Rattus norvegicus: one gene and its partner. The protein of the gene in region 1 binds, or shares a complex with, the protein of each later gene. Links are inferred from orthologs where the notes say so. Each region holds a gene or a part of one and is shown in the gene's direction. Other genes may lie near its edges.

Evidence for each region.
Region 2: Ush1c (region 1) and Cdhr5 share a complex: the UniProt entries of both Homo sapiens proteins name them as parts of the IMAC/intermicrovillar adhesion complex. The link is inferred for Rattus norvegicus from reciprocal best matches to the Homo sapiens genes USH1C and CDHR5.

The regions. Positions count from the first base shown.
Region 1 is NC_086019.1:105,859,185-105,869,663, reverse strand, and holds part of Ush1c (harmonin), read left to right. Parts: intron 1-2,594; coding exon 2,595-2,662; intron 2,663-3,114; coding exon 3,115-3,258; intron 3,259-3,363; coding exon 3,364-3,502; intron 3,503-6,916; coding exon 6,917-7,025; intron 7,026-7,133; coding exon 7,134-7,158; intron 7,159-7,326; coding exon 7,327-7,384; intron 7,385-7,651; coding exon 7,652-7,746; intron 7,747-9,768; coding exon 9,769-9,853; intron 9,854-10,479. UniProt on the Homo sapiens protein: Anchoring/scaffolding protein that is a part of the functional network formed by USH1C, USH1G, CDH23 and MYO7A that mediates mechanotransduction in cochlear hair cells. Required for normal development and maintenance of cochlear hair cell bundles.
Region 2 is NC_086019.1:205,802,593-205,812,524, reverse strand, and holds Cdhr5 (cadherin-related family member 5 precursor), read left to right. Parts: upstream 1-1,432; 5' UTR 1,433-1,471; coding exon 1,472-1,565; intron 1,566-1,645; coding exon 1,646-1,821; intron 1,822-2,176; coding exon 2,177-2,227; intron 2,228-4,350; coding exon 4,351-4,443; intron 4,444-4,581; coding exon 4,582-4,683; intron 4,684-4,792; coding exon 4,793-4,903; intron 4,904-4,991; coding exon 4,992-5,162; intron 5,163-5,697; coding exon 5,698-5,788; intron 5,789-5,869; coding exon 5,870-5,967; intron 5,968-6,070; coding exon 6,071-6,271; intron 6,272-6,403; coding exon 6,404-6,517; intron 6,518-6,592; coding exon 6,593-6,677; intron 6,678-6,775; coding exon 6,776-7,351; intron 7,352-8,859; coding exon 8,860-9,020; intron 9,021-9,306; coding exon 9,307-9,771; 3' UTR 9,772-9,839; downstream 9,840-9,932. Other genes in the region: Sct (secretin precursor), read left to right, coding at 1-6. UniProt on the Homo sapiens protein: Intermicrovillar adhesion molecule that forms, via its extracellular domain, calcium-dependent heterophilic complexes with CDHR2 on adjacent microvilli. Thereby, controls the packing of microvilli at the apical membrane of epithelial cells.

The DNA.
Region 1 (10,479 bases):
TAAGAAGGCAGAAAGATAGACTCCTGAACCCTAAAGTTGCCAAGTCCTCTCCAGGTTCCTCCCCTGACATTCTAATCTTCAGTCAGTGCATATTAATGTTACCCGTGAGGGTAGCCTCTTTCTGCTTAAACCTAAACACGTAGCCGATGCGTGCAATTCTCCACAGCTCAGCCCCTCTCCTGTCCTTCTCCAGTCCCCACCCATGGCTAGAATCAGACACAATGTTCTCTTCAGCTTAAAAGACAGGGTGTTATACTTCCACTGAAGAACAGAAACAGAACCACCAGGATTCTGAGCGTCTCTTAAAAGATGTTCCTCTTTCTTCCTCATTATGGACCAAGTGAATTGGTAACTGTGTGTGTGTAGGGAGTGGGCATCCTGGGTATCAATCTTAGAGTCTCATGTATGCCGGGAAACACTTTACCTCTGAGCTCACCCCCTGCCCCTTACCAAGCTTCCATAACTGCAAAAAGTTAGGTATAGTGGTGCACAACTTAATCCCAGAACCCAGAAAACAGAGGCAGGCAGATTTCTGAAACATTAAGTTCCAGGACAGCCAGGGCTACATAGTAAGGCCTTGTCTTAATAACACGCACACGCACACACACACACACGCACGCACACCAGTGGAGAGGAAAGAGGTAAGGATTAGAGACTTGGATGTTAGGTTCCAAAGGGGACTTGGGTGTTCTTTGTCTCGAAGGCCAAAGCCCTACCAGACGTGGCACAACAGCGAGAAAGTAGGCTTGGAATCTTGCTCTGCTCTGCTTGGTGGCTGTGGCCTTGGGTCACTTCTGCCATACTCCCTGGTTGTGGTATGAGAATAAGGGTCAGACGGGGCTGATGCTTTGAACGAATGTCACTAGGAGCTCCTGGGAGCGGAGCGAGAGTCATTTCCCATCCCCCTCTGACCCCATGGCTCTCATTCCTGAAGAACATGGCCAGGCCTAGAAGCAGAGAACTGATAAATCCACTCAAGACTTATTTATTGAGTATTTACTCTCAGTTAGTCATGAGGACTGCAGACTGGAGCTGATCTGCACCTTTCTTTCCTTCATTAAGACAAATTCCAAAAGGTTATGGCCCTTACGTTAACAACGATTAGTAATTTCCCAGGAGATCAGGTATTGCTCAGAGGTGGGAGTAGGTTGGCTATTAGAGAAGCTTTCCATGGGAAAGAAGCCACTGTGCAAGTAAAGGGGGATGCAGCGTAACCCTAAGTCTGGGGCTGTGGGCAGTCTGGCTCATACGAGAAGCTAAAAGGGGTGTACACAGCCGGAGAGTGGCAGCCCAGGACAAGGACTTGAGTGAATCGAGAAGGGGTTTTGTGGGACTCTTTTCCCCAAGATGACGGTTACCCTAGAGCCTCTTGAGTGACAGCTAAGCTCTCCGACACTGAGCTACATCTCCACCCCTTGGCTTGGATCTTTACATGCATCAAGAAGCCATGAGGCACGCAACTGACATGATTTATATATGAAGCTTTTCTGGTGCTGGTCCTAGTGATTTAGCACCATCTATGATGCCCTTTCCCCATCTCTTAGCTGTTGGGAGCTTCCACAGTAAGGACAGAGGGTGCAGCTGGGGGAGCTTCCACAGTCACTGTCACACACTCTTTGAACCCTTGGAGCTCAGCCTGGGGCACAACCTTCTGGGTTCCTCCTGTCCTCAGTCAAATGCAGTCATAGGAGAAAGAAGACTTCCAAATCGAAACTGGGAATCTGCCCAGGTCCAAAGTCCCAAGGGCTAGGCCTCACAGTCCTCTCTACACTGGGGCAGACAGACTCTCTGGAGTCTTCTAAAGTCCTTAAGACACCGGTTGAGAAGGCATCGTCCTGCCCCAAGCTCTAGGAAGGCAGGAGATCACAGTTTCTCCTGTGAAGGGCAGAGACTGGGACTACAATGGTAATGAGCCCTGCCTTGCCTTGATGTCTAGTCTTGGGCTAAAGAGAAAGCCAGGGATGCAGCCCTTGGAGTGTTGCCCTGAACTTTCTTTCCGAAGTACAGAATTTGGGACTCCCAGCTCCCCAGCCCAGCTCCCCAGCTCTCCAGCTCCCCAGCTCCCCAGGAACAGAGGTGCTACTGAAACAGCTCCTGTACATGACCTTGGAGCCCTAGCTATTGACGTCAGCAAAAGCCAGAATGCTGTAACCTAATCCTCCCCCTGGGGGGGACACTGGGGATAGAGGAGTGGCCTGGAGGCTGAATAGTGGACAGAACCCCAGGTCAGGACAGGGCCAAGTGCATGGGCAGCACAGAGAGATTTGACAATAAGGTGCTTCTGCTAGGTGGGATGTGTTATCTGAGTGAGTGGCCCAAATCCTTCCTCAAAGCATTTATCCGCCACTACAGCCACCATCAGGTGAGACTGTAGGCTTCGTCCCGACACTGGTGACACAGCCGTGAGTGTGACAGCAGTGACATGGGAGTATGCCATTGTTGAGCGGGGGTCCATGTGTGCACATCTGCGTTCAACCTGTGTGTGCCTCTATCACCTTGTCTGGGGATAAGATGCTTCTGGGTTATTCATGGATGTGAGCATGCTGGGTGCACAGGGGACCTGCAGCTCTAATTCTGCTCCTTGGAATTTCCAGGTGGATTTTCTCATTGAAAATGACGCGGAGAAGGACTATCTTTATGACGTGCTGCGGATGTATCACCAGTAAGTGTGTGTCTGCGTCGCCAAGCCCAGGCAGGCCATCTGTGCCATGGGAACCCAGAGTGGGTAATGTCCTAAGACAGCACGTGCTCCGTGCTCCTGAGGACGCACATATAAGCTGCTCTTACTTGCTCGCATCTTCTGTGTGCGTTTACATGAACAGTTCCTACTTGGCTCTGGACTGGGGTTCAGGGTATACTGTGAGCAAGAAGGACTGGTCTGTGTCCTCGGGATGCTCCCAGTCTGATAGGGCAGCTACCCAGATAGGTTCAAGAGGATATGAATATTCAGAGAGAACAAGAAGTAGCTGTCCCCATGCCACTACATCTGTTGGTCTCTGGTCACCCAACTTGCTTTAGATTTTCAGTGCCTGTTTATAAACTCTGCTAAGGCCCAGCAGTGCAGGGGTGGGACAAAGGTCATAGCCACTCACCCAACCTCTGACATCTCTAAAGGACCATGGACGTGGCTGTGCTCGTGGGAGACCTGAAGCTGGTCATCAATGAGCCCAACCGCCTGCCACTCTTCGACGCCATCCGGCCCCTGATCCCACTGAAGCACCAGGTGGAGTATGACCAGCTGACACCCCGACGCTCCAGGTGCATCCAGTCCCCAAGTCAGAGGCCAGGCCTGGGAGGGGCCAGCCTGGGAACACAGGGTTAGCCTGAGCTGGACCATAACCAACCCCCCCATGACTGTAACAGGAAACTGAAGGAGGTGCGTTTGGACCGTCTGCACCCAGAGGGCCTTGGCCTCAGCGTGCGTGGAGGCCTGGAATTTGGCTGTGGGCTCTTCATCTCCCATCTCATCAAAGGTGGCCAGGCAGACAGCGTTGGGCTGCAGGTAAGTCAACAGAGCCAGTAGAATGGGGCCAGGGCCTCAAATGCCCTGTCTCCTCCTGATCCACTCTGTGTTACAATGTGGACACACATTTTCTTAAGCCTTTGAGGAAGGAAGGGAGTGTTTGGAATCCTTCAGAATACAGAAAATGCTCTCTCTCTCTCTCTCTCTCTCTCTCTGTGTGTGTGTGTATGTTGTGTGTGTGTGTTTGTGTGTGTTCATGCATACCAGGCAAGCACTCCACCACTAAACTGAGTGTGTCCGTGTGTCTATGTATCTGTGTCTACCCTCACACATAAACATTCCACCACTAATCTCTATCCGGCCCTTGCCTGCTTTCTTGAGTCAAGTCAAGAGCCTGACTGCTGCTTCTTGATACTGCTACTGAGCCCCTCCCCAAACCTCCTACTTCCTGAAGGAGGAGCAGGGTTAAGGCGGGCACCCGCAGCTTGGTACGGCCACCTTTTAGTCTAATGCACTGATGTCTATGAAGACAGACACTGCCTCTGGACCATCCCATTCTACTCCTGGCCTTGGACCTCACTTTCCCCCCTCTGTAAAGCCGTATCAGGCTGTTGGAAAAGCAGGGGTGTAAATGAGACAGTCACCACAGCTTCTTGATACACCAGGGCTGTGAGACTGACAGATCCATACAGAGCGGGGACCTGATGACCACCTCCAACGAGTCAGTACACATCACACGAGTCAGCCCCACTCTAGAGTGTTCACAGAAGGGCAGGGGCCAATGAGCAGCAGAGCCAGGCTTTGAACTTGGGTCTCCTGGAGCCAAGTCAGCACCCCAGGCTTCTCCCCTGCAGTTCCTCCCCACGTCCCTGTCTAAGCAGAGGTAGGCAGGCCTCCAGGACTAAAGGCTGTTTTTGTCTATCCAGGTAGAGAAAGTTCCAGAGATTTTGCTATCAACATCCCCACCGGGGGACGAGCCAGGGGCTTCAGGGGGCTCTAGGGCTAATGGTGCGAGACCAAGGAGGAGGGGGTGGGGACAGCAAGCTGACAGTCAAGGCTTTGTTCGCAATCCGTGTCTCAGGGCTCCGGGTGGCATCTGAAATTTCAGCCCTCTCATTGTTCTTTCCCTCCGTGGCACATTTTCCAGCCCAGAAACACGGCCAGAGGAGAGAACATAATGAGTTCCCCCTTTAGGGACGGCTGGGCCCCCCTTTTTTCCAGCACAAGCACTCCTCTGAGGACAAGCGCTTCCCTGCAGAGCCTCATGAAGGAGGGCATCAGGGCACGCTCAGGAAACCCAGGCATCCAACTTCCCACCTGCTTCTCAGGCTTATGAAATAGCGCTCCCCTTTCCGGGGCTGTGGGGCCCATCTTTTCTTTGTCCCTCAGATTGTCATGTTACTATGAGCTCCATACAAAGACTCTTTTGCAGGGTTCTGTGTAGAGCAAGGAGTAGAGGGAAGTTGATCCTGCAACCCTATCCAGGGGCCATGGGGGAATCACTCCGACTAGGGTCCCTGGGAAGTTCCTGTGGTAGCAATACAGGGAACTCCACTCAGGAGGAGCTAGGAGAAAATCACCTTCATCCACTGACCAAGCCATCAAGTTTCTCGTGCTGGGGGACAGCACAGAGAAGATTCTAGAAGTCAAGAGGGATTTGCCCTGAGACGCAGGGGGCCCTGCAGGGGCTTGAACCCTCCAACAGGTCCTAGTCCTGGGACTTCAGCCACACGGCTCCTGTCCCTTCCTGGATACTTAAGGATTCTTCATACCTTCCTTATGTTTAACTGTGTCCTTTACTGATGTAAGCATGTAACTGGCTGTTTACTTATGGAGAAAATGGTTCTGCCTGCCTTCCCTCTCCCTGCTGTAAGACGTACAGAGTAATCCCTGCCTTCTGTGGGACTCCAGGGCTCTGAACAAAAGGCAGGACTCCACAGCAGGCAACACGCAAGGAACTGCACCCAGGCTTGGCCACCTAGCCTCCTTTCCCAGACACCTGAAAGCCGACGTGTGTTGTCTGTCCTGGAGTCCTGACGACATCCCAGCAGCCTCCTCACTCACTGAGTGGCTTTGAACAAATCACTTCGCCTCCCTGATCCCCTGTCTCTTCACTGTGGTCCCACATAAAGACCTTTTGGCGGGTTCTATGCAGAGCAGGAACACGAGTTCCTGCCCTTTGGAGTTGTAAAAAATTAGGTGCAGGGAGCTATCCAGATGTTCTATTGAAAGTCGGTGTCCCCAGGATTGCTGCAGGTTCTTTAGTGAGCCCCACTATCGGGACACTGAGAAGGTGGCCGTTCAGAGTGGCACGCCCTTTCCTGGTGGTAATGAGAGGTAACTGTAGATTATAGGCTGGGAACTGACCTGGAGACCGTGTGCCCTCAGAGTCTACCCTGAGGCCCCCACGTATACCAACCTTTCTCCAAGAGACCAGTAATGGGGTATCAGGGAGTCACAACCTCAGCCTGCATGACACCTGAGCTCGTTTCCCTCGTGGCAGCCACTGCCTTCATGTCCTTGGGCAATACACCATTGTCTCACATCCCTATCCTGTCTCTTGCCCATTCCTACCTCAGCACCCGGTCTTCTCTCAGGAGATGTTGATAGCCAAGGATCCTTTGACTTTTTGGTGGAGGTAGCAGTGAGGACCAGCAGGGGGCAGTCTCATCATGCGCTGCCTCTTTGAAGGCCTCTAATAATAACAACTGTTTATTAAGAACCTGCTGTGGGCCCCGTACTGGCTGGCCTTACACACTTACACATATGTTTGTTTAACCCTCATTAACTCCATGGTATTCCCTGTTTTATATGAAAGAAACTACGGTTTACAGAATCCAAGAGACTTGACTCCTGCCGTAAAATAATAGGAATTTTAAAAGGATTCGAGCCTGGGAGAACCAAAGCATAGCGCCCTGTGTTCGTTCCCTTTCCTTTGCCTGCTCCCAGAATCAAGATTCAGAAGTTGGTTTAACGTCATTGAGTTTCCATGGGATGGGATTACTCTTATGTTAGTGCTGTGAGCTTGGGTCAAGGGTCATGGGTCCCCATTTTGGCTCACCGCGGGTGTAGGTAACAGATAGAGACAAAGGCCTGCTTCTAGGACAGGGAGGAGCGAAGACCAGATGGGGATGTTGGATTCCAGAACCTGATTGCCCCTCGGTGGGGTGACCGAGGTACCAAGAGATGGGGACAGAGTTCTAAATCTTGCCTCAGTTCTGTTTCTCACCAACTGCATGCTTCTCCCCAGCCCAGATCTTGCTTTCTCCATCCTGAAACTGAAAACTGTGGCCTTCCACTACCAGAGGGTAGTTCGGCTGCGACACCGTGCTAGAGCACAGATTAAAGCTCTTGCTTGGTGACAGCCCCTTCTGGGGTTGGGAACATCTGCTAGTGGGCCTGCCCCCCCGCTTGGCACTCTCCCCCATGCCTGTCACATCTCTCTGTGTCCAGGTAGGGGACGAGATTGTCCGGATCAACGGCTATTCCATCTCCTCCTGCACCCACGAGGAAGTCATCAACCTGATCCGCACCAAGAAGACTGTGTCCATCAAAGTGAGACGTGAGTGAGGCCAGATAGGAGTGGCACTTTGTGATGGGGGGTAGATGGGAGGTGGTCCCAACCCCAAGGGCCTAGGAGCTTATCTAACCTACTGTATCTTCCCCACAGACATCGGCCTGATCCCTGTGAAGAGGTAAGCAGGCCTATCTGTGAGTCTCCTGCAGGCCAAGAGTCCTGCGGTCTGCCCCGCCCCCAGGCCATGAACTAGCATTGCTCTTGGGCTGAGGTGGCCAAGTGACACAGATCCCAGCTCCCTCAAGTGTGCTTACTGGCTCCACCTTCTCCGTTGCTTTCTCCTCAGCTCCCCCGAGGAGCCCCTCAAGTGGCAGTATGTGGATCAGTTCGTGTCGGAATCTGGAGTAAGAGACTACCTGCCAACCTGCCATAGGGGTTGGGCAGCTGGCCTTGGAGGAGGGATGGCTCTGGGGAGTATAACCTAGGATTTCCCATAGGCCGCTAGGGTACCTGGCACACCCCCCATGGCATGGTAGGCCTTCAGACCCACACCCCAAGGATATGGTGTCTCCAGTCTCTGTGAATGTCCGGTACTTAATCTGGAGGTCTCAAGCTCAAAAGGCCACTTGAATGCATGTAAACCCAGTAACCTGATCCTGTCCCTCCCTCAGGGTGTTCGAGGTGGCTTGAGCTCACCTGGCAATCGAACAACCAAGGAGAAGAAGGTGTTTATCAGTCTAGTAGGTTCTCGGGGCCTGGGCTGCAGGTAGGTAGCAGGCATGCTTGGCTCAATCACCAGGCTTTAGGTGGGTGGCATGCCCTGGACTCAGTGACATCCTGTGGACCTCGGGCTCCCCAGCACTTTCTCTCCCTTTCCTCGCCACTGCTCCTGAGGATTCTTGTCCACTGGCTATGGGTCTTGTGCACTGATGATGATGCAGAATTTGAGAGCCAGAGATAGAACTCCACTCCCTTTCATCATTCAAAAATACTAGGCATCTGCCATAGTTCTCTTGTCACCAGTGGTTCTGGAAACCTTCCCATAAGAGGGGCCAGCAAAGCCCATAACTAGCACCATCAGAGAGCTCTGAGGCTAGCCTTGGGTCGCTAGACCCTGACTCATAAAATAAAGCAATGAACAACCGCGCATAGGCGCTTCGGGCTGTGTGTAGTGGTTGAGATGCAGGTGCTACAGTTGCTGGGATACCTGTTCCACCCCCACCAGACCATGTGTCAGCCCTCAGACCTGGGGCAGTGACTGAGCCTCAGGCCACTCTGAGCCCCAGTCTCTTCCTCTACAAATACGCAGGAGGCATAATAGTAAGTCACAGTGCTGTTATTGAAAGAAAAAACAAAAAACAAAAAACAGCATTGCATGTTCTAGACCCAGCAAGTAGTAAGCAGCTGATAAATTTTAGTTATTATTAATTAAGTTGTTCTTATTTATTTGCATTTATCTAACACTTTTTACAATATATTTTTTAATTTTAAAATTTTTATGTGTGTGTGTGTGTCTGTGTGTGTGTGTATGCACTTGATTGTGGGTGCTCACTGGGGCCAATAGAGGGCGCTGGATCCTCTGGAGTTACAGGTGGTTGTGGGCTGCCCAATATGGGTGCTGGGAACCAAACACTGGACTTCTCTTCATGAGTATCAATTGCTCTTAACTGATAAGCCATCTTTCCATCCCCAGAAATTGTTTTGTTTTGCTTTGATTTGATTTGATTTGCTTTTGAGACAGGGCCTTACTGTGCAGCCCTGGCTGGCCTCAAACTCACAGAGATCTGCTGGACTTTACATTCCAAGTGCTGAGAATTAAAGGTGTGGACCACCGCGTCTGTCTCCATAAATGGCTTTTAATGTCTGTCCTTGGGTGTGAGGATATAGCTTAGCTGGCTCAGTGCTTGACAAACATACACCAAGGCCATTAGCACTATATGGACAGAGCGTGCTGGTGCACGCCTGTAAATCTAGCACTTGAAAAATGGAGGCAGGAAGACCAGGCACCCAAAGTTAAGTAACCTCACCTACATAGTGTTTGATCCTAGTCTGAACTAAATGAGATAAAAAAACAACAACAACAACAAAAAAAAAAAGTAAAATTTTAACTCTCCCTTTTTTCTGGGAGATGGCAATCTAACATAGGATTAGCCGCACAGATAGTTACAGTGTTGCCTAATATAGATGTTAACCCCACAGACAGTTACAATGTTGTGTGATAAAGATGCTGTGGAGCTACACCCTCCCTCAGGGGTGGTAAATACGTTTCCTACCTCTCATCAGTTAACAGTGGGATCCTGGAGTAATCTTCTGTGAAAGGTTCTAAGTTGGTACCCAGCTGGGTGGGAAAGAGTGCTGTGATTGATTGTTGATGTCTGCCACAGCCCCGGGAGAGGAAATAACAGCACAAGAGCCATCCTTGCTATTTATAATTTAGAAGCACTAGTAACCTTGGGGCAATTAGTTTAATTGGGGTCTGGTGAAAAATCTTTTAAGGAATGAACAGGAAAATTCTGGAAAGCAAACAAAAAGCATGTGTGGTATGTTGGATGAGAGGCTGAGGAGATGAAATGACAAGGAGTTTCTGCCTAGAGCAGCAGTGGAAATCGGACTGGAAGGGAGGGTAGAGGCAGAGGGCCTCCAGCCTTGAGTTTATGGGTGACCTATATCCTGAGGTCTGGCCATTTAGACAGAGGGCTACAGACTGGTCATTGAGAATGAACAGAGAGAGAGCTTCAGGGAACACGCTGCAAGGGCAGACCCTTACGCACATCTCTGCCTCCCACAGCATTTCCAGTGGCCCCATCCAGAAGCCTGGCATCTTCGTCAGCAACGTGAAACCTGGTTCCCTGTCTGCAGAGGTGGGGTTAGAGGTAAGTGCCGGGAAGGGAGAGGGATGGGGGTCACACACTGACAGGTGCTGCATCTTCCCATATAGCATTTTCCTAGCCAGCGCTGGCTGGTGACTTCCTAGTGGTCTCTAATGGAAGACCTCTGTGGAGAAGTGGTATTAAACCTCTCCGTAGTCTTCTTCAGCTCCGTCAGCCAGTGGCTGTAAATTTGTAGCGATAATAATCAGAGCTGACGTTCTGCATTCTGAGCCCTGCCACGGCTCTGAGCATTAGGTACTAATGTTACTCCAAGGCCAGGCATGGTTTCTTCCAAGGCTAGGTACCTAGAACTTGGGGCTGGAAGTTTAGTCTACATGGTGTCCTCTCAGAGCTGTGACTGTTAGTCACTTCTTGAGATGAATTCCTCACCTACAAGATAATGGTTCTAGAACCTTCCTTCTGGGGTTGTTGTGTAAATTGAGTTAGTGTTTAGGCTGGACCTATGCCAGGCACGTAACATTGGTCAATAAATGTCAGCATGACTGTTACTATATACTGAGCATCCAAAAGAACTTGCACCGTGTGGGAAGTCCAGAGCCTTCTGTGCCCATTAATTAAACCTCATAAAGGAAATATTACAACTTAGCAAAAGATATTAAGTTCTAATA
Region 2 (9,932 bases), about 100 Mb from region 1:
AGATGAGGGAGGAAGGGGAGTCTCCAGGAGCCTGACTGGAGTAGGGATTGGTTGTCCTTGGCATCAATAAAGAAGGAATTTAGACCCTGGTCTTTTAGCTCATGGTGTGTGATATCTGATAAAATCAAGGCAGTCTCTGCTCCGTGAACCTGGCAGGCTTGGACGGATCCATCCATCTCATTCAGTGACTAGGACCACACCCAGTTGTTGCCCTTTGAACCTGGAAAGCCAGCTAGGGCATTTTTTATCTCTGACATCAGCTGAACCCCTCTTTTCCTAGCTGAATTCCCTAGAGTCCAACCCTGCCCTGTGGTTCATTTAGCAAAATCTCCAGGGATCAAGGATCCCCACCCTGGCCTAGCCATGTGGTCAGGGTAAATGAAGTGGTGAGGAGGAGGCTCAGGCAGGAGTGGGAGGACCTGAGTTCATCCTATGTGGTCATGGCCCAGCCATGAGGCCTGGCCGGTGATGTCATCTCTCAGTGGGCGGCTGTGGTGAGACAGTGCCCAGTTCTGACAGAGAGAGGCCTGGAGCTTTGGGAAGGTTTTCAGACATCTAAAGCAAAAGACCCAGAGTAATGAGGGAGGGCTATGTAGGCCCTTTCAACAGAACACCCCCTACCATTCTCCTGGCCCCACTTAGGGGCTTCCTCTCATCTCTGAGAGCTTGTAGGGCAGAGGAGAGGAAGCAAGAGAGGAGGAAGCAGGTCTAATGGAGGGCTGGGTTGTGTCCTCTGGGATTCTTGTCTTCCATCAGATACTGGCTCCCCAAACCCCAGCTCCTCCAGTGGTTGAAAGGTTCTATTTGCATCTTACCACCCACCAAGGCTCTGCCAGGCCCTACCCTGGGGGCACTGCTGTGTTTCTCAGACAGCAGGAGCAGCTGACTGGGACACAGCCTTGTCCTTTGGGAGTGGAAGAGGGAAGGCAGGTAACATAACAGAGCTCCAGTGATTTTCTAAAATAAACATTGAAGAGAAAGAGAGGAGATGAGGGTCACAGTGGACCCAAGACCAATGGCTCAGCCCGCATCCCTGTTCTTGCTCCCAGTTCCCCAGCCCTGCCCCAGCTCCCCAGACCTATGGCTCCATCCCCGAGTCCTGCTTCAGCCCCCAACCCTGACTCAGCCTCCTTAGGTCTATGGCTCCAGAGCCTTGCCCTGGCTTCCCACGCCTATTCTCCACTCCTGGTTCTCAAGATTTTTTACACCTTATGTGTGGTGCCTGTAAGTTGAGTCCTCAGCTAACTTCCTGGAAGTCCAAGCTGCAATATGACCTCATGTCCCCTGTTAGTGCCGGCCGGCCAGCGGGATCCCCCTTGGTAGAGGCCATCTGTAAAGGATCATAAAATGAGGCGGTGCCTGGCAGGGGCGAAGGTCGCCAAGGCAGGAATTGTACCAGCCCTGGAGCAGGAATTGTACCAGCCCTGGAACCAAGCCGGCCGGACCCTTCTTCCAGGTGACAGCTGCCACCATGGGGGCTCCGGCCCTCCTGTGGCCTCCCCTGCTGTTGCCATTGCTCACGGTGCTGTTTGGCCACCTTCCAGGGACCTTGGCCCAGGCTCAGGGTAGGTACTGAACATGGGCAGGATGGGTGGGTGGCAGAGCTGGGCTGGGAGGAACCAACTTCTCCTTTGCAACTTTCTAGTCTGCTCTGCGAACCAGACCGTGTTTACAATGAACGAGAACACCACTGTTTCTGGGCCACTGGCGGACATTTTTGTCCCAGAAGACCAGTATGTGACCTTGGGACAGTTGTCCACCCCTAATGCCTTTAAGGTTGAGGGCAATAAGCTGTTTCTCATCGTGACTCCAGATTATGAGGTACAGACTGTAGACCGAATAGAATATGCCTTCATGGGGACACAAATGGGCATCCACTCCCCTAACCTGGGAAAGATTCAGGGAAAGAGGGACTGAAGGGATCTATATGCTCCTGGCAGTGAGGAGCCCTTTCAGGCCCAGTGGTTGGTTAGATGGTTGGTTGGTTGGTTGGTTGGTACTGAGGGGTAGGGCCATAAGGGGACAAAGTTGCCAAATGTCCCCTATACCCAGGATTTCCCACAGATGACTGGGGCGCTGGAGCGCTCCCTGCTCTCCTAGCTGTACTCTCCTATCCTATAGGAGGATAGTTCCCTATGTGGCAAGTGACTCATAGGGCCCCTGGCTTTATCCTCAGGAAAACTCTTTGCTGGAGGCAGTCCTGGAGTGTAAGAGAGGAGATACTTTGGTAAGTTAACCCCATTACCTGACCACCTGGGCCTTTTGTCAGAGTACCCCAAGACCACTCCTCCAAGACCTTACCCCCAGGGAGTCTGAACATCAACTCTCTCCTAGCCACTTCCATGATTCTTTTAGCCTAGATTCTGCCCTGAGCTCCAGACTCAAACTCAGCTAACGTAGAGCCCAGTATTAAGTCAGTACCTTGAGACCCTAAGTAGGCCCCTCACCCCTCACCTGGGAGACACCTTCACCTGCCAGCCACTTCTGATGTCACCCCATCCAAGGAACACTGTTGGCACGGTTGACTGTACCTCAGTTAGAGTCGGATTTACTCTTCCTACCTCTAGTCCGTCCCATGGGGCCCTGGCCAGTGGCTCTCCTTTCTGACCCTTCTTGCACATCCACTTGCTGTTCTTGTCCTTGGCCCTCCTCTATTCCCTCTCTACACAGGGAATCCCGAAAGCTCATAGCCACAACCCCATGCAGCCTCACAGAAACTTCCACATTTTCTTACTGGAAGTCAAAGTCAAATGCACAAGTGGGTGGGCAAGGCTGTGGTATGCAGACACTGACCTGGTGTGCAAATTCATTTTGATGCCTAACCCTCCTACTTTATACTGTCCCCTACCCTATCCCATACATCTTATCCTCCATCAATAGCCTTTTACTAAAGGACACTAGAAGAAGTAACAGGCCCCACACACTTCCTGCTTCACTGTGAGCAACTCTCACACCCTGCACTCCTGCCGGGCACCACGACATGTTACCCACACACATCTTGGCCTATGTCTCTAATAGATCATAATAATTAAAAACAAAACGAAATTCTTTTTTGGGTAAAGTTTAGTGTTAGACTTCTGTCTTAATCAGGGTTTCTATTCCTGCACCAATATTATGACCAAGAAGCAAGTTGGTGAGGAAAGGGTTATTCAGCTTACACTTCCACATTGCTGTTCATCACCAAAGGAAGTCAGGACAGGAACTCAAGTAGGTCAGGAAGAAGGAGCTGATGCAGAGGCCATGGAGGGATATTAGTTACTGGCTTTCTTTTTTTTCTTAAGATTTATTTATTTATTATGTATGAGTACACTGTAGCTGTCTTCAGACACACCAGAAGAGAGAGGGCATCAGATCCCATTACAGATGGTTGTGAGCCACCATGTGGTTGCTGGGAATTGAACTCAGGATCTCTGGAAGAGCAGTCAGCGCTCTTAACCACTGAGCCATCCCTCCAGCCCCATTGGGTTGCTTTCTTATAGAACCCAGGACCACTATCCCAGGGACAACACCATCCACAATGGGCTGGGCCCTCCCCTCTTGATCACTAGTTGAGAAAATGCCTTACAGCTGGATCTCATGGAGGCGTTTCCTCAACTGAGGCTCCTTTCTCTGTGATAACTCCAGCTTGTGTGAGGTTGACACACAAAACCAGCCAGGACAAATACCTGCCTAGTATGATTGAAGCCCTGTGCTCCACCTTCAACACACAAATATACTTCCCACACAGACACACAGACACACAAGAGACAGAGAGAGACAGAGACAGAAACAGAAAGACACAGACAGAGAGAGACAGAGAGACAGAGAAAGAGACAGAGACACAGAGAGACAGAGAGGCACAGAGAGAGCCCTGGCCTTGACATCTGTCACAGCTGAGAAGAGCAGCTTTCCGTCTCTGTCCTCCAGCACCTGGCTGTGTTCATGTCTCCCTGGGTCTCAGGAAGGGCTGTCATGGGAATGAGCTGTTTGCTTTCGACCTGAAGGCCCTTTTCCCACTATCCTTTTGGAGACCTGTTTTTGAAGTCGTGAGATGCTGTTTTTCTCCCTTTGATATTTTGCTGGTTGTGCCCCCAGGATTGTCATTCTCTCTCTTCAGCGCACCCACCACATGCACGTGGCCACACTCTAAAACTTGTCTTTACAGTTTGAGTGCATTCCTCCTAGAACAGGAGCTCCTAGGCCATCACATTGTTGATGCCACCAGTGTCTGTGGAATGAAAGACAAAGAATGACTGACTAACTGAATGGATGAATGAATGAATGAACAGATAAGAAGAGGAAGGAATGAATGATGGGGGGCATCAGAGCATTCTCCTCAGCCAGGGGCTGACCCTGGTGACTTTGCTGCAGGTGACACAGTTCAGGGTGTTTGTGGCTGTCCTGGACATCAATGACAATGCACCAGAATTCCCCTTTACAATCAAGGAATATAATGTATCGGAGGTGAGTCCAGTCTGAACCAGTGCTGTCTGAGTATGGGGAAGGCAGGGGGACACAGGGGTCTCTGGGAGACAACATCAGGGAGATCTATATACAGAAGCTACAGCATGGCTGGACCAACCTCTTCCTCTCCATCCCCAGGACACCAGAGTGAATACGATCGTCATCCCTGAGACAGAGCTGAAGGCTACAGATGCTGACAAAGATGACATCCTAGTCTACACTCTGCAGGAAGTGACCCCCGTCAGTGCTTCCCCATCCCCACACATTGCTGACAACCCCCACCCTTTCTGATGCCTCCAGGCCTCAGTTCATCCACCTTCCAGAGTCCAACCTTCTTCCCTTCCCACAGAATGCCAGCAAGTTCTTCTCCCTGGTGGGCATAAACTCCCCTGCTCTGAAGTTGGACCAGACTCTGGATTACTACAAGAGTCCGAACATGACCTTCAGGCTGCTGGCACGGGTAGGCAGATCACATCTTCCTGAGTCCTGGATGTTGTAGGCCCTGTCCACGCTGGGCCTAACCTATCAGGGGCTGGCTGTTACTACAGGATACTAGGGAAGAGAATGTAATTCCCAGCCATACGGCCACTGCCACCGTGGTCTTGAACGTGCTGCCAGCTGACCTACGGACCCCCTGGTTCCTGCCGTGCTCCTTTACGGATGACTACTTCTGCATTCAGGCCCAGTACCACACAGTTATCCCCACAGGACACAAACTGGTAATGGGAAGTGAGGAGGCCCAGGGTCAGACTTGAATCTAAGGCCAAGTCAGAAAATATTCAGGGTAGGGATCTGGCCGCCGTCCTGCACTCCTGGAGAGGCTTGTGGACAATTCTGTGATTTGTGAAACAAACCTGAATGAACAATTAATCAATCAATTAATCACCAATCAATCATTAAGTATCCTTCCCAGCCAGGTGGGGGTGGGGCATACAGACAAAAATCAGTGAGGAGTACATGTCGGCTGGGATGTGAGGAGCTCAGGGGCTGGGCTGATGCTGATAAGGATCTGCTAAGTCCTTGGTCAGCTGAGTCTCCTGAGGCCAGTGGTGTCCCTGGGCAGGCGGCATACACTGGGGCTACAACATTTCCTTCTTAGCTTCTTGTTGCCACTGAGTCCTGCTGTGGCTGCAGCTCTGTCCCAAGCAGGCACTGCTCCTCCCTCCAGGCTCCAATCCATGTTTCAGATCTTGAGGGACAACAAGAGAGTAAGAGCTGGGGCTCTTAAACCTCAAGATGTTCCTATTCTTACAGCCATCCCCTCTCATCTTGAGTCCTGGTCCCATCTATGCTGTGGACGGAGATCAGGCCATTAACCAGCCTATCGTCTACAGCATTATGATGGGTGAGTAACGGCTTAGCCCCACAGCACCTGGACCCCACAACAGAGGGACCAGACACCAAACTCCACCACGAATTCTCCCAGGAAACACGGATGACACATTTATCATCAACAAAGACGATGGCAACCTCACGATGGCCAAAAGTATCCCCAGCCCCATGACCTTCACCCTGGTGGTCAGGGTGGGTACCAGCACTGGATGAGAGAGGGGTCCCCTGTGGCCCCAGCTGTGGCCCCAGCTGCCTTAAATCCCAATACCCACTCCCGCTTCCCCTGACTCCTCAGGCTGAGCAGGCTGACATGGCTCGATACTCAGTGACTCAGGCCGTTGTGGAGGCTCGAGATGTCACTGGGAACCCACTCCAGTTCTCTCAGAGCCTGTACTTTGGCACGGTGGTACTGGGTTCTGAGGCTGGCACAGCAGTGAAGGACAAGACCTTCCCTTCAGAGATCCTGAGGATCCAGGCTCAGTACCTAGGCTTCCCGGTATGCAGTCCCTTCCTGTTTACCTACGAACCCTATAAGTATACCTGGACCCTCTGGCCTCCTCTCTCTGTGTAGACTACTTGGGATGGACTATAGAGTACCAGGCCTAGGTCTCACTGGAGTCTCATCTAGGACCTCAACTCGGCTGTCACATATCAAGTCACCAACTCCTCAGAATTCATCATGAATAAGGATATCTTGCTGACCACTGTGCCTATGGAGACAGAAAGAACAATCCGCATAGAGGTGGAGTGGGGATAAGGGGAGTAAGGTGTGGGGGTAAAAAGGGACCCAAGAGAACAAGTCCCTTTCCTGACCCAGGTAGAAGCTAACAATACTGTGACTAAAGACATAGCCACCACTATTGTGGAGATCCAGGTGTCAGAGCGAGAGCCGCCCTCCACAGGTGAGCACCCCCAGATCCCCAGGCAGGGTGGCTCCTCCTCTGGGACAGGCATATCTGGGGACAGAGGCAAACCCGAGTTCTGTACATGCCACCACCAGAGTCCCCCACACCCCCAGAAGCTGGAGGAACAACTGGGCCTTCAAGTAACACCACTTTGGAAACCCCCTCGACCTCTGGGACCTCTCAAGGACCTGCCACAACCAGCTCTGGGGGAAGTGCTGGCCCATTCCCACCTGCAGGCACAACTCTAAGCCCACTCACCTCTGCCCCAACTGTACCTGGGGGGTCCCCTACTCTTGGAATCAGCACCTCTCCCCAGACAGCTACTCCTGGTGGGGATGCAACACAGACCCCCAAACCAGGTACCTCTCAGCCAATGGTCCCCACTCCAGGGGCTAGCACCTCTTCTCAGCCAGCCACACCTAGTGGCAGCTCAACCCAGACCCCCAAACCAGGAACCTCTCAGCCAATGGTCCCCACTCCAGGGGCTAGCACCTCTTCTCAGCCAGCCACACCTAGTGGCAGCTCAACCCAGACCCCCAGGCCAGGAACCTCTCAGCCAATGGTCCCCACTCCAGGGGCCAGCACCTCTTCTCAGCCAGCCACACCTAGTGGCTCAACACAGACCCCCAAGCCAGGAACCTCTCAGCCGACAACCACTGGGCCCATATCAGGTAGTCTAACACGTTGCTCTGGAGTCACTGTCACCCTTAACTCAGACAGGGGTTCTAGGATGTGCTCTAGAAAAGGGTCCACCCGGGCTAGTCTGGCCTGACCACACTGACTATGGAGTCTGTGTCTAGCTCTAGACAGAGGGCACCAAGAGGTCATAATAGGTGAACTGAAGAAGGTACAGGGATACAGAAGCAGATTTTAAAGCCAGTGAGTCCCATAATTCCCAGGACAATCTGTATTTAGGGTCTTAGGTTAGGTAAGGGCACTATTCCAATAAGTAGGGAGAAACAAGATAAAAAAAAATGAATGTTATGGCTGTCAGAGTGTGCTAACAAATCCCTTTAATCCCAGCATTAGGGAGGTAGTGAAAGGCACACCTCTGTGAGTTTAAGTCTGGTCTAGCCAGGTCTACAGAATTTCACCCAGCTACAGAGAGAGAGAGAGAGAGAGAGAGAGAGAGAGAGAGAGAGAGAGAGAGAGAGAGAGAGAGAATATGTCTTAAAAATTTATGGCTGGATGTATTGATACATGCCTGTGATACTGGAGACACTTAGGCAGGAGGACCACTTAAGCCTAGGAATTCAGGGCTAGCCTGGGCAACATACTGAGGCAATTCTGCTAAAACAAAAACAAAAACAAAAAATCCAGGGCTGGGGAGATGACATACTTGGTAAAGTATTTGCCTTCCAAGCACGAGGACGTAAATTTGGTCCCCAGAAGCCACCTTATGCAGCTGAGCATTGGGATGTGTTGGGAAATCAGAGACAGAAAACCCTGGGGATTGCTGGCCAGGCGGCTTAGCCAGCTACAAGGCCAGCTGCAGGCCAGCGAGAGACCCTGACTTACAGAGTAAGACGCGGACTGGCAAGATGGCTCAGCGACTTGTCCGACAACCTGAGTCAGATCCCTGGGTCCTACAAATGCAGAAAACTGGCTTCTGCAAGTTTTCCTCTGACCACGACATGCACCATGACATGCAGCACCGACACAAATACACACATAAATAAACTTAACACACGCACACACAAGAGGTTCCTACCGAAAGGTCTTTAACTGGTCACTCAGCTGTACCCACTGAACCTCGGAGTGTACAGGGTGACAAGGGGCCAGGCACAGCTAGCTGTCCCATGGAAGTGATCACCAGAGGCAGCTCTCCATGACTAACTTCTGCAAGTGTCACTGAGCCCTGCTCTGGTCTAAGTACAATGTGTATTCAAAATTGTGGTTGATGGCACATAAGTCAGAGGTCACCATAACTGTTTGCAGTGTGCCCTTGGAGGCCATCCTGGTGAATCAGAGGTCGGTGGTCATGTTACCAGGGGCTGTGGTATCCCCCAGGCAGGCTCCCTGCTGGAGGTAATAGCACCCATTCTCAGAACCTCAAGTCTAGATGGTGGGCCAGGAGAGGCCCGTCTTGTTCTTATGGTACCTCAGCCTGGCCCAGGGTGGGAAGGGAAGTTCTTAGGAGTGTTCCTACGGTAAGTGGCCATGGTCTCTTGGATACCAGGAGTAGGCGAGCTGGGTGATGGCCAGAGATTTTCCACGGTGGACATGGCAGTGTTGGGCGGGGTGCTAGGGGCACTGCTGTTGCTGGCCCTCATCTTCTTGATCATCCTCATCCATAAGCACTACCGACATCGGTTCACTTGCTGCTCTGGCAAGGCAAAGGTAAGGGTCTCTGGTTGGGTACTGGGTGAGGTAAAGTAGAAAGCAGACTAATAGGGCTGAGGAGTCACAGAAAAGGGACATGGAGGGATGAGTGGGAACAGCTGGGGAAAACAGGGCTTTATGAGGGAAAGAATCAGAGGTAGGCCAGGATGGGTGTTCTGACACCAAGTGGTAGGGGTGGGGTTCAGGGGAAGAGTGGGAGCCAAGCCGTGGGAGAAGGGTTCAGAAGGCACTTGTGGGAGTCATATCATTGCTGCTGATGCCTTTGTCCTTACTCCACCCTTAGGAGCCACAGCCAAGTGGCTATGACAACCTGACCTTCCTCCCAGACAACAAGGCCAAGTGGTCACCCACCTCCAACCGGAAGCCAGAGCCGGGCCCTGAGCCTGTCCAGCCGCCCCTCCGGCCTCCTAGTCCCATGTCTTCCAGTCCCACGCCCCCCAGCTCCATGCCTCCTAGCCCTCAGCCCAAAGCTTCCGGGTCTCCCAAGACAGTCCAGGCAGGGGACAGTCCTTCAGCCGTGAGGTCTATCCTGACTAAGGAGCGGCGGCCGGAGGGGGAGGGCGGCTACAAGGCTGTGTGGTTCGGCAAGGACATCGGGGCAGAGGCTGATGTGGTGGTTCTCAACGAACCCACCGCCGACGTGGACAGCGCCAGTGCCTCGGGAAGTGAGGGGAGCGATGATGATGATGACCCTGACCAGAAGAAGAGTCTCCGCCTTGGCGCAGTCGCAGACAACACTTACGTCTAGCTCAGCGCCCGGACTCTCCGCCCCAAGCCACTCCCCTTTCCTCCTCTAATTAAAGTAGCACTTTCGAATTCCGGAGTCTTACGGTGGTGGGAGGAAACACGGCGGTGGGAAGAACACGTGCCATGGGTGTGAGAGCCCAGCTGCGGTTTCCGGGTGGCTAG